Lepisosteus oculatus: one gene and its partners. The protein of the gene in region 2 purifies or fractionates together with the protein of the main gene of each other region. This does not show direct contact. Links are inferred from orthologs where the notes say so. Each region holds a gene or a part of one and is shown on either strand. Other genes may lie near its edges. The genes, in order: seh1l, nup160, nup43 and nup133.

Region 1 (6,920 bases), on a different chromosome or scaffold from region 2:
TGCTGAGTTGGTCAAAACTAAATTGTTCAGAAAATGAAAAATCAAGCTACAATCAAGCTACCTGCTCAATTGTGGCTGTACAAGACCCACCCCTGTGTTATTCATACCTTATTTCTGACAATTTCAAGCAAATCACAAAGGAACAGATGGAGGCTCTGCGATTCTACTTTCCAGAGTGACCTGCTTTGTAATACGCTGATCTCAACACACCCCTACCTAAATCAACACATATTGCCCCTACATTAGTGCCTGCCCAATTTTCTTACATCATGCCTCCTCTTTTTCTGTCATGTGGTGTCCCGCTCCAGGATTGCTGGTGCCATTGTTTTGGGAGAGTACCAGGAACATCACAATGTATAACCTGAAGGACACTTGTAAACGAGAACCCCAATGGAAAAATCGTTGGTGGGGACATGGAACACGCTAGGCAGCCACATTGTAGAAGGCGATACCACCTTTCAAGAAAAGGCAGAACGAGAACTTTCATGGAAAAATCTCTACAAACTATTAAAAGAGCTGAGAGGAGAGAAACGAGAGGAGGCCATTCGGCCTTTCTCAGGTTATGACAAGAACTGCCTCCTGTTCTCTTTTTCCAAATACACTTCCAACCAATTAAGAGGCGAAACTTTTGATATTGCCCGTACACATGGGCTTGACAGAAAAAAAGGCTGTTTTTTTTTTTATAGAAGGAACTGAGGAACTCCCCAAAAAAACCTAACAGAGGTAGAAGAAAGACAATTTCGACAGGATGCAGCAGAACAGTAGAAGCTGCAAGCATTTCTCAGTCTTCTGCTTCTCAGGCCTGAACTCATTCAGGCCGTTGGAAAAAGTACTTAAAAGCAAAACACCACAACCTTCTCCCACAGCCGGGAAGCTTAAGAAATGGCTTTCAAATGTACAACACCACAGTCTGCTCGACCCAGGCTGCTGGTTAGTGAATTCAACAGTAGCAAGATCTGCGCTGAATCTAGTCGTTGGTGTGTGTACTGTATAGAACTGTAGCTCTGCGTGATACAGAAACCTCCTCCTCGGGTTTCTCATTCCAACTCCCCCCACACACATGCTCTCAGATGGAAAGCCTCTGCCTGCGGTGGTCGTGGTGCTGTTCAGTGTCTGCTTTACATTCCTTTCCATTTTTCTGAGAGGACAGATTATCTGCCAACCACGTTATGAACCATAACTCACGAAGGTCTTTTAAAAAGAAGATTCGCTTGAATAAATGAATGACTGGCAGGCTCCCCTTGGAGATGGGAGATTTAATGAGAGCTCTTTATGAAGTCTGACCACATATATTAGCACGACTGAGAAGAATCAATTTATGAAGGGTAGGGTTGATGTTATAATGCTGGGCTTCGGCCTGTGAGAGGAAGCCAGAGGACCCAGAGGTAGCCAACAGAAACACAGTGAGAGAACCTACAAATTCCACGCAGGCAGCACCCCAGGAATTGAACCCAGGGCCTAACTGCACTACTGAGCCTCCACTCGATCCAGCTTTTCAGAGCCTATATTTAATTACCTCAGGTCCCCAATTTGGCAAATGATCCAAGCAGAAAGAGCAAGAAAAAATATGCAGCAGAGACAAACCAGGACATGATGCAGGGAAAGGCCCTTTGCCGTCTTCAACTAATTCCTGATCTACAGTGTCGTAGGCGAATGAAAACACTTTTATCAACACATTCTGGGCGGAAGATTAAAAAAAAACTAAGCACTGGTTTTGAATAATCCTCACCTTCCAACTGGCTGTGCAGTGCCATTCTCCGTTTTCACTTTTGTCCCAGACCTGAAACAATCACAGAATCAGCTCTTGTAAATATTCTCTGTGTATTTTGTTTATCTTTCTATAAATAACACTATTTTTTGAAAAATAAACATCGATTTTTGCTAATGGGATCAAACATTGCCCAGTCTTTCCAGAAAAGCCATGAAATTGTTTTACCGATTTGGAAAACAATAATTAAATAACTGGCTCAAACTCATCCTTGGCTTGAACATCTAAAAGCTTTGAAAATCATCTCTGCATGGAATGTTAGACAGCAGCAGTAAATACTAAAATGTCAGGATGTTCCGCAATACGTCTCAAAGATTTATATAGCTATGTACAAGCTACGAGCTAATGTATTAAGAAAAATAATTTGGTTAAAATCTGTTCTACAAGTGTGTGCAGCTAGGGGGAAATTAATGAACCTTTATCTCGGTGACATAGTAGTAGTAAAATATACCAGCTATTAATCTTTTAATGATGTATTACTTGTGAAGCTTGAACGTCTTAAAACGATAGATTTAAATAAAACACTTGAACAAGTCGTACTATTATACGTCTTCAAGTGGCGCATTGAGGACTTCATAGAAGCAAACGTATACTTGAGGGTTTCTGATATAGTATAACCTGCTAAACCAAGGCTTTATAAAGGACTGTATCCGAGCTCTTCGTGGTTAAAGTATATGTGTTCCCAGCCCAGAGCGGAAAACTAAATTCAAACCCCAATGCAAGATAAATTCACTCGTGACATTCACAGACCCGGCGCCCAACTCTCAGGCCTACACAGCCCGTTTGTTTACATGCTGCAACGCAGAAACGCTTCAAGCCGATTGCTTCGTGCAGCTGTTAAATTTACGCTTCCTAGCACGATGGGTACTGATTTATTGACAGGACTCCTCGGCGTTAGGATGATGTATTCATCTTTTTAAAAAAAAAACTCGCATGGAATTACCTTGACACTCTGGTCGCTGGAACAAGTCGCCATTCTCCTGCCGTGAAAATCGTAGGAAACATCGTGGATCAGATCCTTGTGATCCGCCGCAATGCTCCGAGCGACGAACATCGTCCACCGGCGCTGTTCTGAACTCTTCAAAGGCGTGTTTTAAAGCGTTACAATTCACCCCAGACTTTATTTTTTCTAATGCAACCTAGATTTAACTACATGTGAGCGCTGCACCTACGTTCTCCAACCCATTTCTGGCGCCTGCCTTCATGAGGTCATTGCAACAGTCCACCACAAGATGGCACCTCGGGCTATTCCTCTGTTATTTCAGTGAGAAGTGAGTTTAATATGAACACATTCTGGGAAAATCCGATTTTACAACCCCTCAATTACAGTGACCCATGTAGCGTGTGTTTAGTTATTATGCACCATGATTTTATTTCCCAATAAAAGCAATTCCCCCAAGTTATCATTTGATGTAAAAAACATCTTTTACGAAGTATTGTGCAATAGCACAATATCACCCTGCAACTCACAACTGGCAGCCCACTGAAGCTAAGCAGGTGTGAGCCTGGTCAGTACCTGGATGGGAGACCTCCTGGGAAAAACTAAGGTTGCTGCTGGAAGAGGTGTTAGTGGGGCCAGCAGGGGGTGCTCACCCTGTGGTCCATGTGGGTCCTAATGCCCCAGTATAGTGATGGGGACACTATACTGTAAACAGGCGCCGTCCTTCGGATGAGACGTAAAACCGAGGTCCTGACTCTCTGTGGTCATTAAAAATCCCAGGGTGCTTCTCGAAAAGAGTAGGGGTGTAACCCCGGTGTCCTGGCCAAATTTCCAATTGGCCCTTACCAATCATGGCCTCCTAATAATCCCCTTCTATGAATTGGCTTCATTACTCTGCTCTCCTCCCCACTGAGAGCTGATGTGTGGTGAGCGTTCTGGCGCACTATGGCTGCCGTCGATGCTGCACATTGGTGGTGGTGGAGGGGAGTCCCCATTACCTGTAAAGCGCTTTGAGTGGTAATAATAAATTATTATTATAACAGTTCTTAAAAGCAAAGCAAATCTTCCCAACACTACTAACACTGCAACAAATCAGATTTTATGAGCGCTTTCCAGGAAGCTTAAAAAAAAACTGAACATTTAAAAAATCTTAATCGGATCTGCGTTTTGTCAACACAAGATCCATATGCAGATTTGATCAAATCATACAGATTCCACAGTTCGTTAATAACCTCATGATTTTGGATGAAGATTGATTTAGACATAACAAAAGAGAAGTTACAAACGAGAGAATAACAGCCAGCCCATCTAACCCGTTTGGTAGTAACTTTGAAAAAGAGGTAGCCGAACAATGAAACGATTTTCCAAATGATTTTTAGACTTAAAAGCACAACCTAAATATTCTCCCAAATAATGCGTTAAATATAGTTCAGTTAAAATGCTTCTATTGCTTCCATATGCTGTACTTTTTAAATGTGGATGTCTGCGGTGATGTTTATACACGTGTACTTAAAAGGGATGTCCGGCATTGTAGCTGTACAGCAGCGCGGAGAGGTTGTAATGACCACGAGTCAGCCACTAGAGGGCACTCAAGGCATAAAATGCGCTCGATGGCCACGATGCACTCACGCAGTATAAGGGTAAGGGATCACAGGTGATCATGTGGCAATTCCAATGGGGTATTCAAATTCCTGAAAGCCCCTCACCACCTCAGCTCTGGAGCTTCATGACTCCATGATGAGCAGCAGCAGCACCACAGTTGTCCAGGCAGAGGAAAATAACAGCAGGAATCTTGAACACTCCTCTTGGGGAGGGGGGCAGGACAACAGCATTAACATGGTAGATGAGGCCTAGACAGATACTCTATTGTCCACTACGGTTGTTTTTGGATTCTCCCACAGAAGTACAAAACACACAAGCAAAACATAAGAGTCAAATAGTCACAACATCAGTATGTGATACATAAATAAATGGGTAGTGGGGGGGACTACATTTACATACATTCACTGACACAGACGTCTTATAAAAGTTTTTATTTGAAATTGGTACCCTGTACCGTCTCTCTGAGGGGAGTATTATGACTTGAGAATGCAGAGGGTGGGTGGAATCAGCTGTAATGTTCCTCGCCCTTCTGAGAACTGTATTGTGATATAAATCGCTGAGCTGGGGCTGCTGTTTTCCAATTATTTTTCCGAGCTCCATGCCACACAGAGAACATAAGAACGGCTACAAACGAGAAGAGATGCCATTTGGTCTCCCTAGTTCGTTTGGTAGTTAATAGTTAATTGACACAAGGATCTCATCCAACTGCTTCTTGAAGGAAACCAGGGTATCGGGGAGCTTGCTCCACACCCCCGCCACTCTGGGAGTAAAGGAGTGCATCGTGCTCCCAGTTTTAACGGCATGTCCAAGTAGTTTCCACTTGCGTCCTCAGACTCACGTTTCTCTCTTCATCCCAAAGAAGTCTGCTGGATGAACCAAAGTGAAAATAATGAGGAACCACAGTTTTCAAATTCCATCAGAATAAGAAAAACATCACAACCAGTTCAGTTTGACTAATGCCAGACACTGTTAATGTGTATTAAGAAGGGTTATTGTTGCAATTGTTATTCTTATTAAAAGATTAAACTCATTTTTTTTTCCATTGCCTGGAAAGCTGGATGAGAGCTGTCAGAAAATACTATGTATTTGCTGGTGGTTCCAGATGGCAGTCTGATTGCACTGAGCTCATTGCTGAGTTCTGATTACACCTGAACCTAATGACATATCCCAGACCCTAACACTAAAACTAAGCACTCCCCAGAAATATTCCCAAACACACTGGACTGTGTCTAACACAGTATCAACACCATCATTACACTAGTGAAAGAATAAGATCCAAGAAGAATAACTTGTGTATTTCAGGTTTCCTGTTGACAGTTAGCTTTAACAGTTTTAGCAGCAATTGTTTCTGATAATTGTTACACATATATTAAATATCTGTAAGTAGCCATTAGAGGATTTTCGATCGCTTGTGTTATTCTCGGCTGACCTGTTTTCTTTTGTAGACAGTTCACTTAGAAAAATAGCACATGCAGCTACCGTCTAAGGTCAAGATTTCGTATTCTCCTGAGGGCTATGTTTCATGGGTTCAAGTTAAAAAAAAAATAACGCGAGGGCGAAAGAGCAAATAACTTCCCACGATTGATCACCACCCTTAAAAGGCTAATGTTCATTTCAGCAGCTTCCAGATGGGCAGGCACGATACCGGCACGACCCTGAAAAGCGGTAGTCGCCAAATGCCTCATTCCGTCAATGAAGTTTTGATTTGTGTCGTAAAAGGGACACGCCACTTCCCGATTCATCTGAAACCGAGTTATAACCTTTTTGTCAGACACAGCTTGACATTTTGCGCGGTTCACACAGCGCCGGTCTTACGCCCATCTCCTTTCCTTATTTCTTCCAACAGTTTTCAATACAGTCATGATGCGTGACACGTTATCGTTCATCGGGAGGCAGAAGAAGTAGGTAATAGAGAGCGAAGTTTTTTTTTTCGCTGCGGTTTGATGTTCTTGAAAAAGCGGCAAGAATATTGCAATTGTAGGCGGCGGGGGGGGGGTATATATGTGTGTCTGTGTGGGGTGGGTGATTAACCTAAAGCCTACACGTCCAGCTAAAAATACACCTGTCTAACCAATGACATTCATTCCGCCCGGTGTCATCCCTGGGCGCCAGACCTCCCTCCGCCGTCTCATCGCACATCCGACAACCTGCCTGCGCCTCCTCTCGCGCCGCAGCCCGAGCAGCGAAGGGCCCCCCGCCAGTGCGCAGGCGCGGGCAGAGGCGCCGCTCTCCGCGTTGATGTCAGTTACACGGACACGCAGTTTGTTTCGCCGTGTTCCGGCAAATGGCTCGGCTGGAGGATGTGTAGCGACTGAAGCCGTGAACGCCGACAACAACTGACTCAATTTCTACGTCCGCGGAGAAGGGAGGGGGGGGATTGGCACCGCACCGGCACAGCAACGATGGACCAGGAGTTTCGGGACATGGACTCGGCGGGCCGGTGGCAGAATTTGTACTTCGTAAGTCTCAACTCGCGTTTTTCGTTACCCCCTCTCCGCAGCAGCTGTGCTCTGGGAGACGTTTGAACGCCTAGCTTCCGACTTTCCTCTAGGAAGTTCCTGGGCCGCAGCCTGGCCTCGGCGGCGCGCACCGAGCCCGCGAGTGGTACTG
Region 2 (7,048 bases):
GGAGCAGTTGGGGTTCAGGGCCTTGCTCAGGGGCCCAACGGAGTAGGATTCCTCTGCCGGCTGCAGGATTTGAACCGGCAACCTCCCAGCCACAGAGCCACCGCTCTGCCCCGGAGTACACAGTAGGTACACAGCTAAGACGTTAACGGGGAACACCAACATGATTAAGGACTCTGGGCTACCAGGTTTCACCGTGCAAAACATCCCTGGGTGATTTCACCGAAATCTTTTTCCCTGGTTAAGCGTGGGCAAACTCTAGTGTAAAATCCGGTACAAACAAGCAGGCCTGCAAGCAGTCAGTGACCACAAGAACCAGCCCCAATTTCCTGAGTGACCATCGGCCTGCTGTCTGTAATGCAAGCCCCTGCTGCGACTGTAACAAGACAAAAAGAACCTGATATCCTGGTTTTGGGGCGCTGAGAAACCAGGCAGGAGCAATCGGCATCTCCCGGAGAACTTACACTCCTGTACATGCGGGAGGGGTGGGGCAGGACCAGCCGGTGCACGGTCTGGCTGGTGACCACGAGGACGACGACATGGTTGCAGGTCTCCTGGATGTGCACCCCCCCGGGCAGCAGGGCGCAGTGGAGGATCTTCAAGCGCACGGCGTTGTTCAGCAGGTTGGTGTCCAGGGACTGCTCCACCAGCTGGACAGTGTCGCCGGAGGTGCTCCTGGAGGCGGTGAGAAAGTGCGATTTCATGCCCCACACCACCAACACCACAACAACCCACTTTCCTAACTGCTTCTTCCAGATCAGGGGCGCGAGGGAGACGGAGCCTGTCACGGCAAGCAAGGGTGGGGTACATCCTGGGTGGGATGTCAGTCCCTCACAGGGCACAGGGCACATACACACCAGGGCCAGTTTACCCAAAAGCCAATTAACCCACCAGCATGTCTTGGGACTGTGGGAGGAAACCAGAGCATGTGGGGGAAACCAACATAAACATAGGGAGAACATACAAACTCCACACGGACAGGAACTGAACCAAGGACCTCCGAGATGCTTGCCCCCCCGTATTGACTACATAATGCTTGCATAATGCATAGAATCTTCTGATGCTTTGGGCCCTACCTGGAGGGCAGTATAAAAAAACCCTGCAGTCTTTAGATAAGAGAAATTAACAACAAACTGAGGAAAAGCAATTCTAGCAGATCAATGAAGGCGTTCATTTACCAAAGTCGACTGCATGCTTTTATTGATAATTCCTGCCATTTGCATAGCGTTGTTCATCCCAGGGGCTGCAAGAACACTCCACATGAGGGAGGAGACCTACTCCACCCCACTGCTCAGCAGGAGATTAATTCAACGGAGCTTTTGGGGGGGTCAGACTGTTTGAGCCCAGGGAGCAATTTACCCTGAATTAAGCCCTGACATACGAGCAGCTGGGAGATACAGTATGAACCGCTCCACTCCGCCTGGGGTGGGAAACGATCAGGACGCACTACAAACCAGCATCGCATTGTTAGTGCCACGAAGTAAACATAATTTCCCGAGACACCACAGCAAGTAGACATTATCACCTACAGATTTGCAATGAGAAAACACCCAGAAAACTGTCCCAGAAAACTGCAAGAAACACCAATATTGCAAATCAAAAAGGGCCCTCATTATGCTAGCATTATGCACCTATATAGCGCTTTTCTGGACACTCCACACAAAGCTTTTTACAGGTAATGGGGATCCCCTACACCCCCACCAGTGTGCAGCCCCACCTGGATGATGCGCCAGCAGCCATAGTGTGCCAGAACGCTCACCACACACCAGCTCTCAGTGGGGAGGAGATGAAGCCAGTTTACAGATGAATCAGTACTTCGGTTTTACATCTCAGCTGAAGGACGGCGCCTTTTTACAGTATAGTATCCCCGTTACTATGCTAGTATGACAAGTGTTAGGTAAAAGAAAAAGATTTGCAGCTCACCACTGTATGAACCTGTTGCTTGTAACAGACAGGAGCTTATCACATTCCTCATAATGGAATCCACCAGCACTGTCCGGATATTTGACTCCTCCGGGAAGAGCATTCACCCCTTGCAATCAGAGAAAAAGACAAAGGGTTGTATCACAGCGTGCGAGCGAAAAGGGAGTTTTCTTCGTAAGGCTTTAGACTCTGCAAAGGCTTTCAACTAAAAAACAAACCCGCCCTCTCCAGTCCAGCAATACAGTCCAGTGAGTGACTGGTGGCAACACTCATATTTTTATCTTCCTGTGTAAATTCCAAGAGAAAGCGGGGCGCCGGACGCTGCATGCTTGTATCAGGCTCGATATATCTAGAGACGCCCAGGAAAAGCAGGGTGCTGAAAAGACTTGCTAGCACACATCTCGCAGTGTTGGGGCTTACCGTCCTGCTGGATTCACCGCGGATAATGGGATTCGAAAGAATTGTACTAATCGAGTTTCCACTGCGCGATACTTAAGATTACAGTTAGGTCATTATAAGCATATAGAGTCCGAGACTAACTCCATGATTAAGATGTAAATCACTGTAAAGCGAAATTAAAGCCACCTTAAAATCAAAGCATTTATGTTGTGTAGGAAATGACCGCAACTTTACAAATAACGAATTCATAATCCATGCCTCTGCTCCTCTTCAAAAAGCCAAGTTTGCAGAACACTTTAGAAAAAACCCTACCTCGACTACTTCAAGATCTACTGGAGGGCACCAATCAAGGTGTGATACTTGGGTTTTCCAGACCCGCGGGGCGGCTTGGTACCTTAATTGATTTACTTGCTAGTACAGTGTCAAATAGGCGCTCTACCGAAGGCATGGCTAACCCGCTGCATGGTGGGCAGTCACGACCTCGTCTTCCGGGGATCGTACTATCTTACCCAACAAAGTACAGTCCCCCGTCCCCCGTGCGTGATCCTTTAAGGGCCTTTACCTGGATCAACCGTTATATCTCGGAATTTCTGGAGGGTTTCTCTCTCGAAACCACATATTTCTATGTAGCTCCGCTCCAGTGCCGCCGCGGCCGCCATCTTGACCCCCGGTGCACCCTGGGAAAGGCTAAGTGGGCGGTCCCACAACAGACCCGCCACGCGCTCTTTCAAACTCTTAAAGGCGCAGTACCGCCTGCCCGTGCCAAGGGCATGATCAATAATCAATGGCTTAAACGTACATCCAGTGCAGCATAATCACTGAAAATGCTCTGCAATTAACAAAACAATGCACAGGGTTAAACAGCATGAGCTGTCATAGGAACAGAGTAAATTTCGATACAAGGAGGTTGTTTGACGTCGTTCGACTCGTTTTTACAGCGCAGAACGTTTCTCCATGGTAATTGATTTTTTTTAAAAGCACTGATAATCTCCGATTTTTCTTTTAGAAACTAAATCGTTGTAAACGTCTCTGCCGAGGGGACGGCAATCTTTTTTTTCTAAAGAGAAATTCAAATGTAAAAAAAAAACCACTCGCTTACACAATGTATTACATAAGCTCGCTCAAATCAAGTAAGGGTGCCCCTTGCTGAGTGTGCTTTATACTGCTATAAACGCACTGACACAGGAGGGGCATTTTCTGAGATTTGTTGTACAAAGCAAATATCAAAATGATTTAATACCGCTGAACAAGGTCCCAGAATTAGACCTATACTTACGCACAACTTAGGCTAACGAGCACTAAGCCGCCCACGGTATTACTATTATACTTGAATGCTTTTTTTCGGCAACGCGACTTAAATATTTGCGCCCCTTTCTCATGTAGCTGAGCGCTCGACCCCTCTGTCGCGGGGCTGCAGAAAGTGGACACGACGCCCAGCGGAACACCCAGCCCCGGCGCACGTGGGACTCGAACCCGCACCCCGGCACTGCGGACAGACACTTCACTGTCCCCCGCTGCGGAAAGCTGTCTTTGGCTTCTCCCACAGAAGTACAAAACACACGAGTCACATAAAATCACATTGAAATCACGGCAACAGTAAGTGATACATAAGTAACTGGATAATTAGAGGTGGGGCTACATTGACAGACCGCCAATGAGTAGTTTTAATGCAGAGGGGACAAAGGACGTCTTATAAATGTTTTTATTTGAATTGTGGTCCCTATGCCGTCTCCCTGATGGGAACATTATGAACTGAGAATGGAGCAGGTATGTGGAGGCAGCTGTGATGTTCCTCGCCATTCTGAGAACTGTATCACCATATAAATCACAGAGTTGGGGCTGCTGTTTCCCAATTATGTTTCCTGCCATTTTCACAATCCCGGGCAGTTTGGTTTTGCTTTCCGACCCCAGATGTAAATACCATAAGGTCACGTTAAATGCCGGTAGCGTCAACACCGTTCTGGCGGATCTGATGCAGCGCCGATCAAGTCGCGTCGCTGCCTAATCAAAGACCGAATTCACCCCTGGCGCAAAGCTGTTAACGTTGTGCAACAGCACCTTCCTCTTAATGGGGGGCAAATCCGAGAGGCAGGACCCGATCGAGCGCAAGGCGAACCGACAGGGCTGCAGTCCGACGGTTGCGAAAACGGACGCGTTTCCTGACCGTTTCTCAACTCCAGGCGATGTGGAAAAAAAAAACGACTATGACCCCAAGCACAGATCTCCTGCTCAACCTTAAACACCAAAACAAAAAAGTCCATCGTAAAAACACCAGCAACAGGGGATACTATATCAGCGTTGATTAAAAAAAAATCAGCACATTCGACTATATAAAACGAATGTAACGCCAGGAGAAATGAATGTAGTGGGGGGATCCAGCAGGTGGCGCAGTCTACTCGGGACCAGAATATTCCAACCAATGTTACCGTATGGTGACTGTGTACACTATGCTGCAGGAGGTATAAGATAAGATAAGATCATCTTCTTGCTGGGTATCGCCCTCTGCCTGGGATTATAAACCCAGGAATGCAAAGATCCCAGGGCACTTTTCGACAGAAACTCCGGATCTCAACGATCTGAAGTTTACTTTGAATGTAACCGGTATAAAGCAACTAACTGGTCGGTCTTCAGGCGGGGAGAGCACTTCAGTACTGGATGAAGTGGCTCCTCTCCTGTAGGTAAAGTGCTTTTGAGAGCCTTTGATATGAAAGCAAAAGGCAAAAGGCACTGGAGCGAAGGAAATGGATTGTTACTTTGCCAGCATGACCAGAGAAGCTCCTGTCACCCAGAGTTTATAATCTGGCACAGAACAAGCACGAGCCCTGTGTCAGAAGAGCAGACAGCGCAAACTGGATTCAGTTGTAACCTGCAGCATTCAGATCCTTTTTTTAAGATCAGTATGGAAAATTGCATCTTTTGAGGTTTTCGTTGATTGCCCTGCGCATAATAACACTTTTGTTGTGCATTTCATTCTACAAGCTCTTAAAGCATATTGTGGTTTGTGCGCACGTGTGCTTTCTTATTTGTTGTGATGCAAATAAAAAACCCGTTTAAGTCTTGGTCATTTTATTTTCTTGGTTACCTTCTTTGTTTTTCAGGAAGATGCATTATGTCTCTGTGTCCAGCCAATGTGTTAGAAATGTACTCCCCTCCACACAACCTTTGCTCAGCTGTGCTTGACAGTCTAGATACTTTACTCCATATTTCTGGGGCACCGTCCTAAAACACAACGGGGACTCCTCTTTGACTCTTTGCTTCCTACATAACCGTGAAGGTAATTCATAAACAACTAGAGACGAGCTTGCATACTCTGTTGCTTTTGGTCAACTTCTCAAAAACTAATGCCCAGGGATCTGCTATTATACTGTATAATACTGCATAGGAGTGCCCTGCAGTACCACTAGTAACAAAATATAAAAATACATTACATATTCTTTAACCAAGGCACTGATATCCTTAGACTTTTATTGGCACAGAAAAATCTTTACCGAACGAAATATATATTTTCTTTTTTTGCTTGGGGAAAAAAAACCTAGCATAATATACAAATGCATGAATCTACGCAAACGTAGACATTAATATCCTGTATACTCCTCGGGTTTTAACATTTTAATCATTAGGGATTTATAGAACCGCTCAAGTATGCAAATCACAGAAACAACAGGTTGAGGAAACACTTTTTTTCCAGATATATATGGCATTTCTGTTAAAACCGTTGGGGTTTGCACCACACGCTTGTGCAACGGCGCCCTGAACTTCTGCTCTCGCAGCGTGGAGTGGGGATATATATAGATGGGCGCGAGGGCGCGAGGGCATCGGGTTGAGTCTGTGGGGTCTGTCACCATGACCTCTGTTCTCGCGAGCATCCTCTTAGTCGCCTGGCTCCGTGCGCTTCACTGCTACCCTGTAGAGGTAAGGAGAAACATGTTCGTCTGTCTGAAGTTACACAGTGACTGGCGTGGGTGTATCCTGCCTTGTGCCCCTTGCTTGCCGGGATAGGCTCCGGCGTATCCAGCGATCCAGGGTTAAAGCTGTTTTAAAACGAATGGAGGGCTGGGAGTACTACAGTATGTCTCGAACTCTGTGTAATCAGAATCAAGACAAACTAGTTGTTTCTTCTGGAGAGCTCAGCGATCGATTTAAACGATTTTCTTATTTTCTGTCACAGTGATCAAGGTTGAACGTCTCTTTTTTTTAAAAAATACGTTAGTCATCGTTCTTTAATAATGTAAATTAAATAAATTAATTGATTTCTGATGAATGCAATAAACGTAATCTAAAGACTTAAACATCTGACTGGTTGACACTTTTAACTGAGGTCCTGCCCGTTAAGTCAAGATATGAGAGGCACAGAGTGTTATACGCAAGGAATCCAGCAGTGTTTTGTCAGTTTTAATATAAATGTGAAGCCGTTCTTTTCTTCACCTGCAGCTTTCATTGGACCTGAAGATCAATAATGAAGAAAGCGGCTACACAGGTATAGTTCTGTATGAAACACATAGCAAGGCTGAAGATAGACCTACTGGGACAGGATATCTAAACAGTAAACATCCCGCTGAGAATAGCACAGTATGTTTTGACCCATTACGCATCCACATCAATCACACGCCTTTGAAGCTAAATATGACTTCGTTTTTCTATGACACTGAGAATATACCACCCTTTGCTATATGAAGAGAAAATATGACGATCGTTATATTTTTTATCGAAACAGCGCCATGAACCGTCA
Region 3 (7,969 bases), on a different chromosome or scaffold from region 2:
AGAGATAGTTCAGAGAGACTCTTTTCCTCCAGGAAACAACTGAAACTCCTTTCAGTTGCTGTAATTCTATCTTACTCCAAAGACTCATGCTTGTCTGAGGCCAACAGGCCATTTCTGTCCAGGTCTGTTATACAAGCAGCAGGTCAGGACCCATATTGGGAACATCTACATTTTATATTTTGAGAATCATTTCAGAGAGTCAAAGTGAAGAGATGGGAAGAGCGATGTAGTAGATTCGGGGAGTTAACATGAGATAAGGCGAGCTACTGTACCTCGGAGGAACTTAGTTATGATGAAAATATTGAATTAAAAATTTATATTTTGGAGTGCCAGTAACATGCACAAACATGCTTTTCTGAAGCAGAGAGTAAAAGATATAATTCAAAACCAAAGCTAAGTTAATTTCATCCCTCCAGGGTGATCTAAGATAAGCAACACAGAAGAACTCAGAGTCAGATTAACTTTAACATGATCCTATTCTAACATTCTGAAATAACGTCTTTACTACAATCAAACTCAATATTATGTTCTTTGGAATATGCACATTTCCAGAGAATCTCAAAGAAGAGAACAAAAGTAGTAAAACAGAAACACAGTCTGAAAGACAGCAAAACCAAAAAAAAAAAGTTTTGAACTGAAAGAACAAAACAGAATGAGGTCTAAACTCTGAAAGAAAGCATTGGAAAGACAGATCTACCTGGCTGTTGTGATGGTGTCGGAAGATGGTAACTGCTCCAGTTGATGAAGCTGTAACAATTCTCTCATGGTCCAGAAACTAAAAGAAACATCACAAGAAAATAAATGTGCCTTACAGGGCATGTAAAATGGTCATAAACACGAATAAAAAAAGAGTAAACCAAGCTAAGTCTATACCAAGGTTTAATTCACAACTAACATTTATAGGTCAGAGAATGAGAGAAAAGTATATTGCTTTGAAGGCTGACCTACATAATCCTCCAGTAACACATCGAAAGAAGAATAAAGGATAAAGCAACATTAATAAAGGATTTATTACATTCACAGGAATAAAACATCATTCCTACAAAGCATTTCTGGAAGAATTGTGAAATGTGTCCGAGGTTGAGGAACAGTGACGCTGTTTGATATTGAGCGATCGCGGCATCACACAGTAATGTATGAACATTTTACGTTGTGCCTGATATTACTACTTCAAATGTACTCAAAGAAAGGTGGAATGTCACTTATGGCCTGTTAACTAGGAATTTTCTTCTGATGCTCAAGACCCATTGTACTGTACCCATTGCCTGGGGAGAGGCAAATTCTGTATCCACACAAAAATGTTTACTTTTAGACATGTTATACAATCAATACGACATAATCTAAAAGAGAATACAACTTTAGAATTTTCAGCCAAACATAAGCAGGAATAAACACAAAGTGTCTGATATCATACATAATATGAATGATGTTTCATACTAGTTCCCACAAAATGTCTTTTGGCCCTAGTACTGCCCTTCCATGTTTTTTTCTGAAACCTCCTTCTGTGGAAAATTCTAAACTGTCTGCTAAGATACCACAGTTCCATTATTCACCTCACTTGAGAGAATATGAAAGAGGAAAATAGAGTTACTGCCCCTTTTTAGAAATTTTCAAAATGACCAATGATCAATCGTAGTAAAAAAACAATGTACAACATATTTCCAGATAGAAAAACGAATGAAGAACAAGTGTACCTGAAGGTCCATGACATCACCGCCATGTCGGTAGTCACACAGTAGCTGGGGGTCTCCTTCAAACTCATCCTCCATGCTGGTGACGCTAAGCTCCCCCACAGACCATATGGAAACTTTATTGTCCTGGCACAATGATGCAAAAGTGGCATTCAAGAAGATATTCCTTTCTATCAGGTAATCCCGCATGTAAAAACACCCCTCGACCATGACAACTGCCTGCAGCTCACAGCTGGCAGCCCACTGGAGCTCAGCTGCGTGAGGCTGGCCAGTACCTGTGGGGAGACTCCTGCGAAAGCTAAGGCCGCTACTGGAAGAGGTATACGTAGAGCCAGCAGGGGGCGCTCAGCCTGCGGTCTGTGTAGTCCTGATACCCCAGTATAGTAACGGGGACACTATAGTGTAAAGAAAAAATGACATCCTTCGGATGAGACATAAAACCGAGGTCCTGATTCTCCGTGGTTATTAAAACTTAAAAATCTCAGGGCTTTCCACGGTCTCCTAATAATCTCCATTACTTCATTACTTAGCTCTCCCCACTGAGAGCGGCTGTGTGGGGAGTGTACTACCTTCACATCATCCAGGTGTGGCTGCACACTGGTGGGGGTGGAGGGGATCCTACTTATTGTAAAGCGCTTTGAGTGGAGTGTCCAGAAAAGCGCTCTATACTGTAAGTGTGAGGAATTTTTAATAACTGCCGCTGTGACGGCTTCATTCACTTCTCTGTAAAGCTGAACAGTAGAGCCTATTGGCTTGTCCCGTACGGAGCCACGTTGCCTTACAATTACAAAATGAAGTACAGAACCAAATCAAGTCAGACATATTCAATGTTTTCAATGTAACGAGAGACAAAAAACTGAGAAAGAGTTGGAAGCAACGACAGTAGTGTGCTCAAATCTGCTGGGGATACAGGATCGACTTCCACCTAGTAAAACGTGAAATGTAACATAACACCGGCTTTATCGCTTGGTCTTAATCTGGCGTGTCTTGAGTTAAAGACTTATAATTTTTACGAAAACAAAACTGCTTTCGAAAGGACATCCATTCATTTCTTTCATGCTTATTACAGCTCTATAAATTACCTCGTTATCCCAAGACCCTGTAGCGAATATATCTGGCTTTTGGAGGGATGCAGAAGACACCGGTCTCCATCGTGTCTTACTGATCTTCTGAGACACAAATTTGGCATTTATGTACTCCATTAAAATGCTATTTTATTGTTGTAGCTCACATTAAAATATCATTTAAATTTGAACTGTTCTTGCGGCTCCCCGGATCCCGTCAGTTCCTCCTCTTCCGGCTCACAAGACGGTCACGTGAGTACGGATCCTCGGCGAAGACAAGTGTCGTTCACATGGTTAAATACGGTTGCAGAAACATGAAAAATATCTACAAAATCGTAGTTGAATGAGATTGAAAATATGCTCTGTTATTATATTTCCTATATTGTGTTTCATGTCATCTGTTAATGGCATCTTTAATTGATCACATATACTATTTACACCAGTAATGGTATGTCTCCGTACATTTTCAACAAGCTTAACAGGTGGTCAATGGCAACTAAACTGAAGACTGTACTTATCGAGGAAGATTCCGTCTTCTATTTTTACACTATAGTGTCCCCATTAGTACCCACCAAGGTCAATACCAGTTGCAACGAATTTCAGTTGCTGAAAATAGCTCACGGCTCCATAATAAAATGTCCTCGCTTCCAACGAACCCAACTGAGTTGGTCCAACTCTTTCTATAGACGCAATCTAGTATCGTACTAAAATGAACACTAGATCCCATGTTCATCAGGTTCATGCAGCTTATTACTGAAATGATATCGTTCATTTGACTTAATCTTAAGCGTTCTTAAGTGTTTGGTTGGAAACTTATTGTAGTATTCAAATGCTCAACAATATTCAAAATCATAAAGAAACTAGTCGCCATTCAGTTACAATCTCATTTGACCTCTGTTTTTAACCAGCCGGTACATACGGTACAGAGACGGCCTTGGTCTGTTTGTCAAACCTGGGACAATTTGTTGCAGATAATAATTTTAATCAAAATTGCCCCATTCTCTTCAAGTGTCTCCCAAGGCTCTGCCCTAGCACTTATTTGTTTTAGTCTATTTATCCCCATCAGGCAGTCTTATTGGTGTCAGCTTTAATTTTTACACTGATGAAATTTAGCTTTACATCTTGTGTAATCCATAATGCAATGTTTCAATTATGTCAAACTGCGTGAGTGAACTTCCGGCTGAAATGTCCTCCATTTAAATATGATAAAACCTGAGATGATGTGAATAAACCCCAGGGAAGATGAATCTCATTTAGTAAATTCTCTACAACTTGGAAACAGTAGCCTAAAAGTATGCCCTACTATGAGAAATCAGTGGTCTTTTTTTAAAACAATATCTTTATTGTTTTTTCCATATTTAATATGAAATGAGAAAATATGAACTATGTCCAAACAACAGAAAAGAAAAAGGAAGAATGTGATAAAACATCCAGACAGTTCCAATAACTCATACAATGGCAGTGATTCAAAACACAAGTCACCCAGGTGTTTGTTTTTTAACATAAATACATGTTATATACAGGGCTTAAATGTGATACCTTTCATAAAGCAGTTCCTCTAATTAAAGCCTTTACTCTCTAGATGTTACCCCGATTATTCTCTAGAAAATCTATGCAATACTTCTTCCAAAAACCCTGAACTACCAGACATTCCCACATGCAGTGAAAAAATGTACCTTTGTTATCTTTGCATTTAATTAGGATAGAACTGATGAAGTTCATGTAGTGTGATATACAGTCTTCGTATCCACTTATACTGTAAGAGTTTTAAGCTAGTATTCACAGTCTGAGTCTGAGCTTTCAAACAAGTTTCACTCCACTCTTCCGCAGAGATGTCTTCTTGTATATCTGTCTTCCACGATTGAAGCCTACAGTCAAACGATTCTTTCGATTTTTCAACTAGCACCCCGTACACCAATGACACCTGTCCGGTGGTCTTTTTTATCCCAAATAAATGATGCACAAATAAAAGACGCCTGTAAAGTCTCTTACTTTCATCTCAGAAAATTTGCTTGAATTTCTTGATCACACTGCTGCAGAAACCCTGATTCATGCCTTGGTCACACCTCGGCTGGATTACTGCAGTAGCCTTTACAGTGGTCTCCCGACCAGCTCCCTAAACAAGCTCCACGTGGTCCAAAACTCAGCTGCTCGACTTCTAACGTGTTCTCTGTGAAGACATCTCCCCCAATTCTGAAACATCTTCACTGGATCCCCTCTACCCAAATGTATCCAGTTCAGAAGTTTACTTTTAACTTTTAAAGCCAACACATCCAGCCCCACAGTACAGAGCACCTGAGCATCTCTCATTACCGCTGTGTATCAAGCAGGGTTTTACTCTCTGCTGAGGCCACCTTCTTACAGGAACAAGTGTCTGTTCAGTCTTTTACAGTTAAAATCTAGACCAGTCACCTATCAGGTTTAGTCAGGTTTTTAATTAGTGTTTGCCTTTCCTCCTTGTCCACGTTGTTGATCTTTGCCTTTATTTCTGTTGTGTGTTATGTTCTACCCTGTAAAATGCCCCGAACTCTCCTGCTGTACATGGGCACTGAAATACATCCTTGTAAACGAACCAGCTGCAGGTGGCTCTGTGGCCAAGGATCTGTGCCTGTGGCTGGAAGGTTGCTTGTTCAAATCCTGCAGCTGGCAGAGAAACCCTACTCTGTTGGGCCCCTGAGCAAGGCCCTTCACCCCAACTGACCCTGCGCTCTGACCCCCAGCTTCTCTCCCTGTGTCTCATGGAGAGCAACCTGGGGTATGTGAAAAGACACATTCCTAATACAAGAAATTGTATATGGCTAATAAAGTGATCTTATCAATAGACCTACTTCTCATGGTTCAATCATAAAGGGAGTTTTTTTTCTTTCTTTTCTCTTTTTCATACGCTTATCTCTCCCACATCTCTGGCTTCCTTTTTCCTACTCCTTTATTCCTGTTTTTTATATTAGTGGTGGAATTACACAGTGTGTTCAGGGACCCAGCTTGTCTTGCCATGACTATTGTTCACGCGTGTTTGTTATTGGGTTTGGCACTGTGTGACATTCTTTTTTTTCCCGGAAAAAACAATAAAAACGTTGAATACTAAGGGGGGTGCCATCCCTACCTCACACACTGAAGAGTGCAGAGCCCGTTGTATGCAATGGTGAGTCTTGAAATACAGATTCTGTGGAGGGAAGTGAACTGAAATTAAGGGAAATGCATATAAGTAAACAGGAAGTGATTCTTCACTGTGATCAGTCTCATCTGGGCATCATTTCTCTCTGTTGTTTACGGTGGGAGGTCTCCACACGGGAGGTTCTGAGAGTGGAGAAGGGATATGGAGGAACAAGGATATTCGTACACGGGGTAAAGTGTCTTATTTTCTGTAGGGTTTATTAAAGAAAACACTCTTATTAGGGTCTTTTCAGAGGTGATCGATGACGGCTCTTCAGTACACTGCCCCTGGCCGTGGGCCAGTAACAATAAGAGCGTCGATATAGCTGGCGTGTCGAAAGTCTTGGAGATGGTACAGGCAGTTCATCCCGGCTGACAGCAAGGCTGGGGCGGACCACACGTGGCAATGATACCGCTGGCTCTTACGGCGCTGGTACCCTGACCAAACGAGAGACGAGCAAAACGCGGTTTTAAAATGCCCAAGGCTCGCTCCATGGGCACCCCGCTGTTTCACGGCGCTGTACGTGTGCAGCCCCCTCATAACCGGTGCTCTCGGGCAGAGCCACCACGGGGCAAAGAGTCAGAGGCAAAAACAAACAAACAACAACAACAACAACAACAACAACAACAACAACAACACGCAGAGTTAACAAAACCTGGAGTGCGGGGCCCAAGAGACACCCCCTCATTTCTTCGACAAGTCGGGGGTATTCTTCGGGAAAACCCTGGGGAGATCCAACTACCCCGGACGGCCATGATCCACGGATATCAATTAGGCAACACCTCAGGCAAAGTACAACAATTTGCACGTAAAGAAAACCAACAACTTTCCGACCCAGTGTTCCGCTTGGTACTGTACTGGATTGCTTAGTTTAGCAGCAGTATCTGTAGTCTTGCACTTTGGTATCCTCTAGAGGGCATCAGGTGTTCCGTCTGCATTTGAAAACATGATCATATTTACCTGTGAGGACTCATTTCAGCAGCGATCGACCTGGCGTATTTCTTAAGCATTGAGCTGAGTACCAACCACAGGATCATCCACGACTAGGACGCTGCTCCCAGATCGTTGCCAAACGGTTTTTTTCTAGCAAAATAGCGCAGACTACACTAGTCCACAGATTGAACAGTGATATTATTCTGTTATGTATTTATATATTTTCAACACTCGCGGCCATAAGAAATGGTATATCAGACCATGCTGATTTTTTTTTTAATGAAAAATCAATGTGTGGAATATCTTACCTAAAGGCACCTGCTGCTCCCACGGTTGTTTTAAAGTTCACATCAAATCGATCGTGTTGCGTACACACACACGTTTACTTCACAGTTTTCATTTCTCCAGCTGGGTTTTATTAATGTGGTCCGATTCGTGTTCCATTAAAAGTGAAGGGGGGCAGTAAGGGAAAAGCTTATGTTTTATCGTCCAGATAGAAACCGCAGTGGGGTTTGAAAGAACCAGTGTCTGTGGCTGTGACCCGGTGGACTTGGGATGTCTAGCTCTTGGGCTCACGCCGTAACGGCCTTGCCCTTATGGTTGTCTCACTCACATTTGCAACCAGGCATTTACAAACCGTGCTTTTAAATAGATGCCCCCCCCCCCACTGCCCCGGTCATCCGCCGAGACCCAAAAAAAACCCCCCAAGCGGCATCACGTGTTCGTCGCGGGAGCGCGCACACACACACTCGCTCCGCCTGGTGGAGGAAAGAGGCACAGCCTGCGAGGCCGCCCGTCCGAGACGATTAATAATAAACAGCCGGAACCGCGTCCGGCCCGCACGCAGCTGCAAGCCAGCGCACCGCACCGCACGGCTGCTCAGGTCACCGCGGTGGCACTGACAGGGCAGCGGCCCACGGCGGCCGACTCCCCCGGCGGCGGGGACGCGCGTCGCGGGGGGGCAGAGCCATGTCGGGCGGCGCCGGTGACGTCACGCCGTCCGCGCTGGAAGTAGTCAGCGTCGTGGGCAAGGCCGTGTGCGCAGGCGCGGCACTGACAGCCGCTCTCTACCTGATCCGCAGAGTGTGTCTCACCATGGCCTGGAAGTCAGGAGGCGCCAGCCACGC
Region 4 (7,803 bases), on a different chromosome or scaffold from region 2:
GTCGTGGGTCTCTGGAACAAACTGTGTTGAAGCCGATACCTCATGGAACGGCTTGACGAGATTGGCTGACCAATCAGCTACTAGCAGGCGAAGGCGCTGGACGGGCCTAGGGGCCTCCTCTCACGAGGAACTGCTCTTGTGCTCTGAACGCCCAGACTGACGCACAAACCCACCTGTACAGGAGCCCCCTCGCCAGAGCCCTGGCACGACAGGGCGACCAGATCTGCAGAGCCGGCAAAGTCACTGGGCGGCAGCTGCAGCTCCTTGCAGACCGATAACTGGGGTTCAGAACAGAACAGAATCAGACAGCAGGCCTCCAAATCAACGCCACATGTAGCCGCAACGTTTCACATTTACGCCAATGGATGCTAGAAAACGGTTTTCCTAACCAGAACTCACAGCTCGTAATGTGAACGGCCACACACCCTTCCCTTTTGCTAATCAAGGATGAAGTTGGCAGTGCTTGATTTCGTCCAGAAGGGGGAGGAACATTGGGTATCGATCTCAAAAACCACCACGTTGTACAGCTGCATGCAAAAGTTGGGGCACCCCTGGTTTTATTTTTTATTTTTTTTCAATCTGTCAAGTAAATGGTAATTGTGCATTAAAATGTGCAGAATTCTGCCATGTCTACGTTTGTACCCTCCAGAGGCTGTGTTAACTACCTTTCACTTAGAGACTCAGTGAAGCGTGCAATTTGACCAGGGGTGCCCAAACGTTTGCATACCACTGTATCTGATTGCATCATCAGCACGTGTCCAGGTCCCTGGGGTATCGGCAGGACAGACCTTCGCCTGTATGGACGTACAGGACAGAGTCACAGAGAGATGAGATCTTCAAACAAGCTGATAGGAAAAGACCAGTCAAAGTTCCATTTAACGCTCAATGCATTTCCCACAATATTTCCCTGTACACAGACGTCTGGTTTTCTAGGGATTAAAAAAGAGACGAGGAAATGTCACCTTTGCCACAGCAGTCTGCCCGATCTTCCAGATAATAAGACTCTCTCCGCACACCAGCCAGGCCCAGCCACTCTGGTCCACCCGCGCGCTGATCTCCTCCTCCTCTGCAACAGACAGGACACCCGGCTCAGCCCCAGGCCAAGGGCAGGAGATCACGCCTGTTCACACGCATGAATACAGCAGGGCCTGGCCTGCACCACCGAGCAACACACCCACTCACGGCCATCGATTTCCAGGTTACAGCCCGTGTGTGGGGTACAAACATCTATAGCCGTCCGGACACGCTATTGAGACCCCTAGCCACTGAAGGCTTGATTTTAAAAAGCTTGGAAGATAAATGAAAAACAATTTCCGCACACACGGCAAGGTCAGAAAGCTTTTGATTCTGGTGACATATGCATTTTTCAGCAAGTTGAATCCCGCCCTTTTGGGGACAGGGCCTTTGCTATTCGAATGAAGACGAAGGCTTTAGAGAAGCTGCACAGCCTGTACTGAGACAGCTGGACTGTACAATCATGTACAGTGTGTCAACACGCAAAAGCCCGGAGGCAGGCAGTACAGTATATCTACGGCGGGAGGGGCACAGGAAAGCTCACCTTCGGCCATCGTCAGGGCCTCCATCACTTTCACGGGCAACGAAGAGCCGAAGCCCTGCAGGTCGAAGTTCTCGGCGGTGGCCGTGTACTGGGCCCGCGTGGGAGTCGCTCTGGAACAGAACAGAGGGGATGTTTGTGCTGCTGCCTCACACTCACAGCCCCAGGTCTGGGTTGGATTCTGGAAAAGGACACCTGTCCATGTCGAGCCTGCCCGCTCCCTGTGGGGTGCATTCTGGGTACTGTGGTTTCCTCCACTCCATCATGTTAGAAATATACATTGTTAATGGAACGAAAAAAACCTCTTTGAAACAAATGGCTGGTTTTCAGTAAGACTGAATAAAGCACAAGATAAATGAAGAGGATGGAGTACGAAGCTGCATCAGTGCGGGTTCTGCAGAGGTCTGCATGCTAACAAACCGGGTCCATTCGTGCCGTCGTTCTTGCAGCTGGATCGGAACCAGCAGCACACGCACTGGTCTGTGAAGTCCTGTGACTGGTTAACCCAGCACCTGACAGCGCGCTGTCACAATTGAAAACAGCAGCCATGCCGACAATACTCTTGGACCTGTTCACAATTCAGATTGGAATTTTACTTTTTTTCTCTAATGCCCTGAATCTGACGGAAGCGGACTAATGAATGAATTTCAATGAATGAATGAACAATGCAGTTCTCTCGCAGAGTAGTCTTCACTATTAAAATGTGCCTCCGACACGAGGTTCACAAATAATATCGTTTGCTTATATATTCAGGATATCAGCAAAATACCTGACCTGACGAAAACGCATACATTTAAAATCAACTAACTTGGTTAGCCAGCGAGTTTTAAACAGGTGAGGGATTTTCAAATTCGCAGTTGTTTTAAGTAAATTCTATGACTTTTATACTAAATGATAGAGGATAAACGTTTTTTAAAAACAACTATTAACGCTAAACCACGTAGAATTACTAAGTGATAAGGATTTGCGATTAAACAAGCCGCGCTTTGCTCTTTTAAAACTAATCATTTCGTGTTAAGGATTGTTCGTACAGCTCTGCTAACTTCACTATTTTAGTGATCGTTAATGAAGATCCTGCTTCATTTCACGTTGTTTTATTTTTGGATCAGTACTGACGAAAGTGAAGCGACTGTTAGATCACCCTAACGTAAATTTTCGCTTCATTTTTTCGATAAAATACTTACCTCGCCGGCAGAGACGCTCTCCGGACCGGCGAGAACAGTCCCGTCGGGGTACCGGCTAGGCTCTTTCTACCGGCCGCTCTGGAGGTCGGCCTGCGAGCCGATCCAGCAGACGCCCGGGGAGAAAACATCTTTTATTTGTTCGCTGTATCCGAGTACGATTTTCGACTCCTTTCACACAGGTTCTGTATAAAGTCAAACCATGAGACAACCAGTTCCTCGTTCGAAGATTCCCTCAAAAAACGCTCGCACACTGACTCACAACATGCGACAAGTGCTGGCGCATAACATAAACGTCATTTGTCGTGGGCTGGTTGTGGGGATTGTAGTTTTATATAGAGAAGAAAGCGTACCAGACTACATCATGAAAGAACACTGTATGAAAAGGGAAGTAAAAAAAATAAAAAGGAAGGAAGTGAGAACGCAGCTCTGGTGTGTTTAGTTTCGAAAGTAGTACGTTTTAATAGTTTCGTGAAATGAAGTTATTTCAGATATTTAACTTATACAACAAATTCGCTATTTGAAAAAACATATTCCTGTCAGTTGCAAAAGGGTTTTTAAATTTATTTGAACATAATGCAATTCTGTGTTTATCTTTCCACAAATATACAGTTCACAAAGAAATTCAGAAGGAGAACGAAATTGTTCTGTTTATTGATAAAAGTAAAATATGGTGTACTGTCTAAAAAAAAAACAAGCAAGAACCAACTTTGTGTTCTTGATGCCTTTATACCGGGCCTTCTACGTGGTGGACACACTCTCTCCCAATGTTTTCAGCTGTTTACTGAAAAGAGCCATCTTCATTTTAATTGAAAATGTTTTTTAGTTTAACTTGATTAAGTAGAAATGTTGAGGAAACGTACAAGTGTTCGGTCTTTCACAGAACAGAGTGGATGTTTGTGCTGCTGCCTCACTCTGTGGTTTCCTCCCAGAGACACCCGATTATGTTACAAATAAACATTTTTAATAACACAAAAAACGTTTAAAAACAAATGGCTGAATAAAGCACAATATAAGTGAAGAGGTTGGAGTAAGCCTTATCAGTGTGGGTTCTGCAAAGAAACAAGTAGAGGTTAGCTGCATGCTGCAGCAGAAACAGCAGAAAGTAAAAACATTTCAACCTCATAGACTGTTTCAGGGTTGATATCTGTATTAGTCAGCAAATGTAATTTTTGATAAAACAATGCAGCCTTAAAGCCTGTGAAAAGGAACTGTGAACTGGCTTCATTACTCTGCTCTCCTCCCCACTGATAGCTGGTGTGTGGGGAGCGTTCTGGCACACTACGACTCCCGTTGCATCCTCCAGGTGGGGCTGCACATTGGTGGCGGTGGAGGGGATCCCCATTACCTGTAAAGCACTTTGAGTGGAGTGTAGTGTGCTCTCTGAAGGCACCAGTTCTGTAGGGTTTGGGCATTTACTGGGACAATTATTAATTGTAGCAGTAAATCACAAAATTGATTCTTTTGATGGCTTTAGAATCCAACCATGCGATATAACTCAAACAACGCACACACACACAGGTACTAATACACGAGGATACATTTATTAATACATAGAATATGCATATAAACCTAACAGATCTTATCGAGAGGGTTATCAGAATACAAAAGGTATATATTCAGTCAGTTACAAAGAGTTACATATATCAAGAGGACATACGTTCAGTATATCATTCATTTAGACCGTTTCGTAATTGAACTTGGTTACAACTTCTACATTAGATACTCAAAACAAGTACATAACTCTTAGGAATTAAATTGATATCAACTGGTTGGGATAACAATTGAATTCTCGAGCTGTAATGCATTGAAGTTGAATACTCATCCAATCTCTGGGGATTCAGATCTCCTGCGGGCACAAAGAAACAGTTGCAGGCTGTTGCTGTCCAATCTGCGCTCTCTGGCTCCATGCCAGGCTGTGCTGTGCGGCTTGCAACGGTGCGCTGCTGATGCTCACTGACCGCTAGTTAGTGTTGGCTTTAACTAGCAAAGTTTGTGCACAGGAGAAAAGATGACTGTGGGTCCCAGCAAGTCAGGAAGAGGACCGGTTCGTTCCTGATGAAGCGCTAGTTCTGAATAGTGATTCAGCTGTCCACAGTTCCGACCTGTTCACGAGGCTTGCTGCTGGTGCTAACCTCGGGTGGATCCTCTGGTTACTCTCTGGCAACCTCCGCTCTAGACTCTTAGAACAAAGCAAAGTTCTGGCACTCGGACACACTGGCCGTTCCGTGGTTGTCCGGGCTGAGTCTCAGGATGGTCAGGAGGCGTGCTGCGAGAATGTCCTGCTCTTGGGAGCCTTCTGCTCCTGGGCCGTCCTGCCCTGGAATTCTCCTTTGAATTCCCTTTAGAATAGTCCACAGAATTCTCCACAATTCCTTGAATCTCCCAGGCTCTCTGTGTTGCCTGTTTTTACCTGGAGGAACTTCAGCTCGTTGATTGGCTGACAGTTCCATGGGCATCAGAGTCCCGCGTGGGTTACTCGGCCCTACCAGTCCCTGATTGGTTGATCAAGGTGAGATATGAGTCACTTACTCCTGACACTTAGGAATGCAGTCCAGATGTCCATTTGGCACTCCCTAGACAGATAGGCGCCAATGGATGACCATTGATCATGATAGCCAGGCTTAGCCAAGTGCATCCCCCTTTGGGAGCTGTCCCTTATCAAAAGAAAACATCTTAAATCAGCCTGCATGAATACTTTCTCTGTGGCTGCACTACAGAGATGGAGGGTGAGATGGGGCCTCCTTTAGGACAGCATACCAACGCTTAATTCTGTCTTATTAACAAGCATTGCCGCTACAGGAGTGTCCAGAAAAGCGCTATATAAGTGTAAGCAATTATTATTATTTATTATTATTATTATTATAACTGACAAAATAAATTAGAGAAACAATTTAATGTTATTGAAACAGCCTTAAAAGAGAATAAACAATAACAAAATGAAAGAAACTGCTAACAATCCCTTCAGGATCTCATTTCTGGTTTTGCTCTTTGCCAGAAGGGAAGCTTCGCAGTCCTGGTTTGACTTGATTCTGCTAGTGATGCAGTATTGCTCCAGCCCCCGCCTCTGCTGTTTATAAGCTTGAGTCAGGATCCAGAAGAGCTCAGGACCTCCCGTCAGTCTGCTCTCACTCACATGACCCAATACAACAAGTCTGGGTTCGTTCCTCATTGAACTGTATGGTACTTACATCATGAATATCAAGTGTCTTCTGAAATATTTTAAACAAACGAAAAACTGCACATAAAGTACAAAACATTCCAAAAATAAAAATGAACAATATAATTACAGAACCATAACTATGGTACAAATGCCAGTCAATACATAGAAGCTGTAAACAAATAACATTCCCTAAACAGGACTGTACCCTATATATACCATGATATCGTGTTTGTTTAATTTACAGTTTGCTTATCCTTAATTTAGAAAATCTAAATACACACGCACTTATTAAATGATAAACCTCACAGTTTCAGAACGTGAGCTATGTAGTATCTTATGGCATGCCTTCGCAGTAGTAAAGATTGTGACACATTAAGAAACACAATATTACTCCAATACATCTTGTGCTTTATGTGTGGCGGTTATTTTGAAAAGCCCACACCAGTTTCTGTGATTTAATTTATTGTCTTACCATGCAGTATATCTAAAATTACAACCAATCCTTGATAGAAGAACTTAATGTTGGTGTACTGAAATTCAGCGTACTAAACAGGAATGTGTGCCTGCCAAAACACTAAAATTCTTCAATGTTTCACTGGGAAAATTATTATTTGATGTAAAAATGGGTTCAGTATATTTTTAATTGACAATATTCTTCAGAACACAATATGGCATTTTCAAAGTTGAAGGGACAGCAGAACAGATAGAAAAACAAATACCTAAGTCAAAGAGCTGCAATCTGGATTCCCTGTGATGAGAGCTTTGACCACACTGGCCACAGAAGTTCTCCCGCTCCTGCACTGACGTTACTCCACCACCACGTGCTTCTGGCTGTTCTGCAGGAACGCTTGCTTCTCCACCAGCTTCCTGAAGAGGCCCTGCCTGTTGGCCAGCAGCTCCTCGTGCCGGCCGCACTCCACCACGCGCCGCTGGTCCAGGACGGCCACCGCGTCGGCGTTCTGGATGGTGGACAGCCTGTGGGCGATGATCAGCACCGTGCGCCCCTGCATCAGCCGGTCCAGGGCCTCCTGCACCAGGAACTCATTCTCTGCGTCCAGAGCGCTGGGGGGACAGGAATACAGGGCGCACACCGGGAAAGTCAGTACAGTACACTCTTTGTACTCTCTTTACAGCACTTCTACAACACGCAGGGCATCGTCTGCAGGGCCCGCTGGGATTTCACAGTTAAACACCTTCAGAAAGATTCTTGTGACACGTATGATGCCAGTGCTTTAATTTCAAGCATTTATCATCAGATAAATGCTTAACAGGGCATCATGAAATATGAAATAATAGGAAACAGCATCAAACTGTGTACCTGGTGGCTTCATCCAGAAGAAGTATCTTTGGGTTCTGGAGAATAAAAAAGTTATTTATTGAAACAAATATTTTCCAGTTTAAATACATTTTTAATGCATAAGGTTTAGTATGTACTTTGTCTAAGTCTGTGCAGTCATGAACAAGGATATTGAAGCATAATATGCTATTAGATACCTTTAGCAGAGCCCGTGCAATAGCAATTCTCTGTTTCTGACCACCTGTTGGTAGAGAGAAATTAAATTACGTGCATGTTATTCTGGAATGGAGTCTGTTATGTTCCAATATTTACAGTTTAATAAACATAATCCAAAAGCAGATTTTGATTCTATTTCTTACATGTCATAGATTTCAAATGTAGGAGTTATCACACTATTGAAATATTTCCCTCCTCTCATGAAGCAGTGATGCTGAATACTAAGAGACTTCTCAGATGTTGCCCTCCAAAATTCATCTGAAAAGAAGCAGCCAGGAGATTTGCCCCTGCAATCACTGCCAGTGATGTGTGAGTTCCAGATGTGAAGCAGTGTAATTAAAGCAAACTAACTAGGGTGAAGCGGGGGCTCTGTGGCTCAGGATCTGTGTGC

The links.
Region 1: the proteins of nup160 (region 2) and seh1l fractionate together in Homo sapiens (co-fractionation; 3 studies listed by BioGRID and IntAct, with this or other methods). This does not show direct contact. The link is inferred for Lepisosteus oculatus from reciprocal best matches to the Homo sapiens genes NUP160 and SEH1L.
Region 3: the proteins of nup160 (region 2) and nup43 purify together in Homo sapiens (affinity purification with mass spectrometry; 5 studies listed by BioGRID and IntAct, counting the BioPlex papers as one, with this or other methods). This does not show direct contact. The link is inferred for Lepisosteus oculatus from reciprocal best matches to the Homo sapiens genes NUP160 and NUP43.
Region 4: the proteins of nup160 (region 2) and nup133 purify together in Homo sapiens (co-immunoprecipitation; 4 studies listed by BioGRID and IntAct, with this or other methods). This does not show direct contact. The link is inferred for Lepisosteus oculatus from reciprocal best matches to the Homo sapiens genes NUP160 and NUP133.

What each region holds. Positions count from the first base shown.
Region 1 is NC_090705.1:9,368,660-9,375,579, reverse strand, and holds the start of seh1l (nucleoporin SEH1), read right to left. Parts: upstream 3,005-6,920; 5' UTR 2,823-3,004; coding exon 2,712-2,822; intron 1,781-2,711; coding exon 1,730-1,780; intron 1-1,729. Other genes in the region: ptpn2b (tyrosine-protein phosphatase non-receptor type 2), read left to right, coding at 6,713-6,769. UniProt on the Homo sapiens protein: Component of the Nup107-160 subcomplex of the nuclear pore complex (NPC). The Nup107-160 subcomplex is required for the assembly of a functional NPC.
Region 2 is NC_090716.1:4,054,702-4,061,749, forward strand, and holds the start of nup160 (nuclear pore complex protein Nup160), read right to left. Parts: upstream 3,014-7,048; 5' UTR 2,979-3,013; coding exon 2,882-2,978; intron 2,030-2,881; coding exon 1,921-2,029; intron 673-1,920; coding exon 462-672; intron 1-461. Other genes in the region: hatching enzyme 1.2-like, read left to right, coding at 6,163-6,231, 6,751-6,796. UniProt on the Homo sapiens protein: Functions as a component of the nuclear pore complex (NPC). Involved in poly(A)+ RNA transport.
Region 3 is NC_090697.1:4,921,569-4,929,537, reverse strand, and holds the start of nup43 (nucleoporin Nup43), read right to left. Parts: upstream 3,008-7,969; 5' UTR 2,894-3,007; coding exon 2,774-2,893; intron 1,818-2,773; coding exon 1,695-1,817; intron 776-1,694; coding exon 698-775; intron 1-697. Other genes in the region: pcmt (protein-L-isoaspartate(D-aspartate) O-methyltransferase), read left to right, coding at 7,812-7,969. UniProt on the Homo sapiens protein: Component of the Nup107-160 subcomplex of the nuclear pore complex (NPC). The Nup107-160 subcomplex is required for the assembly of a functional NPC.
Region 4 is NC_090712.1:2,256,967-2,264,769, reverse strand, and holds the start of nup133 (nuclear pore complex protein Nup133), read right to left. Parts: upstream 3,006-7,803; 5' UTR 2,868-3,005; coding exon 2,740-2,867; intron 1,669-2,739; coding exon 1,559-1,668; intron 1,067-1,558; coding exon 963-1,066; intron 279-962; coding exon 174-278; intron 1-173. Other genes in the region: uncharacterized protein abcb10, read right to left, coding at 6,706-6,961, 7,218-7,252, 7,394-7,437. UniProt on the Homo sapiens protein: Involved in poly(A)+ RNA transport. Involved in nephrogenesis.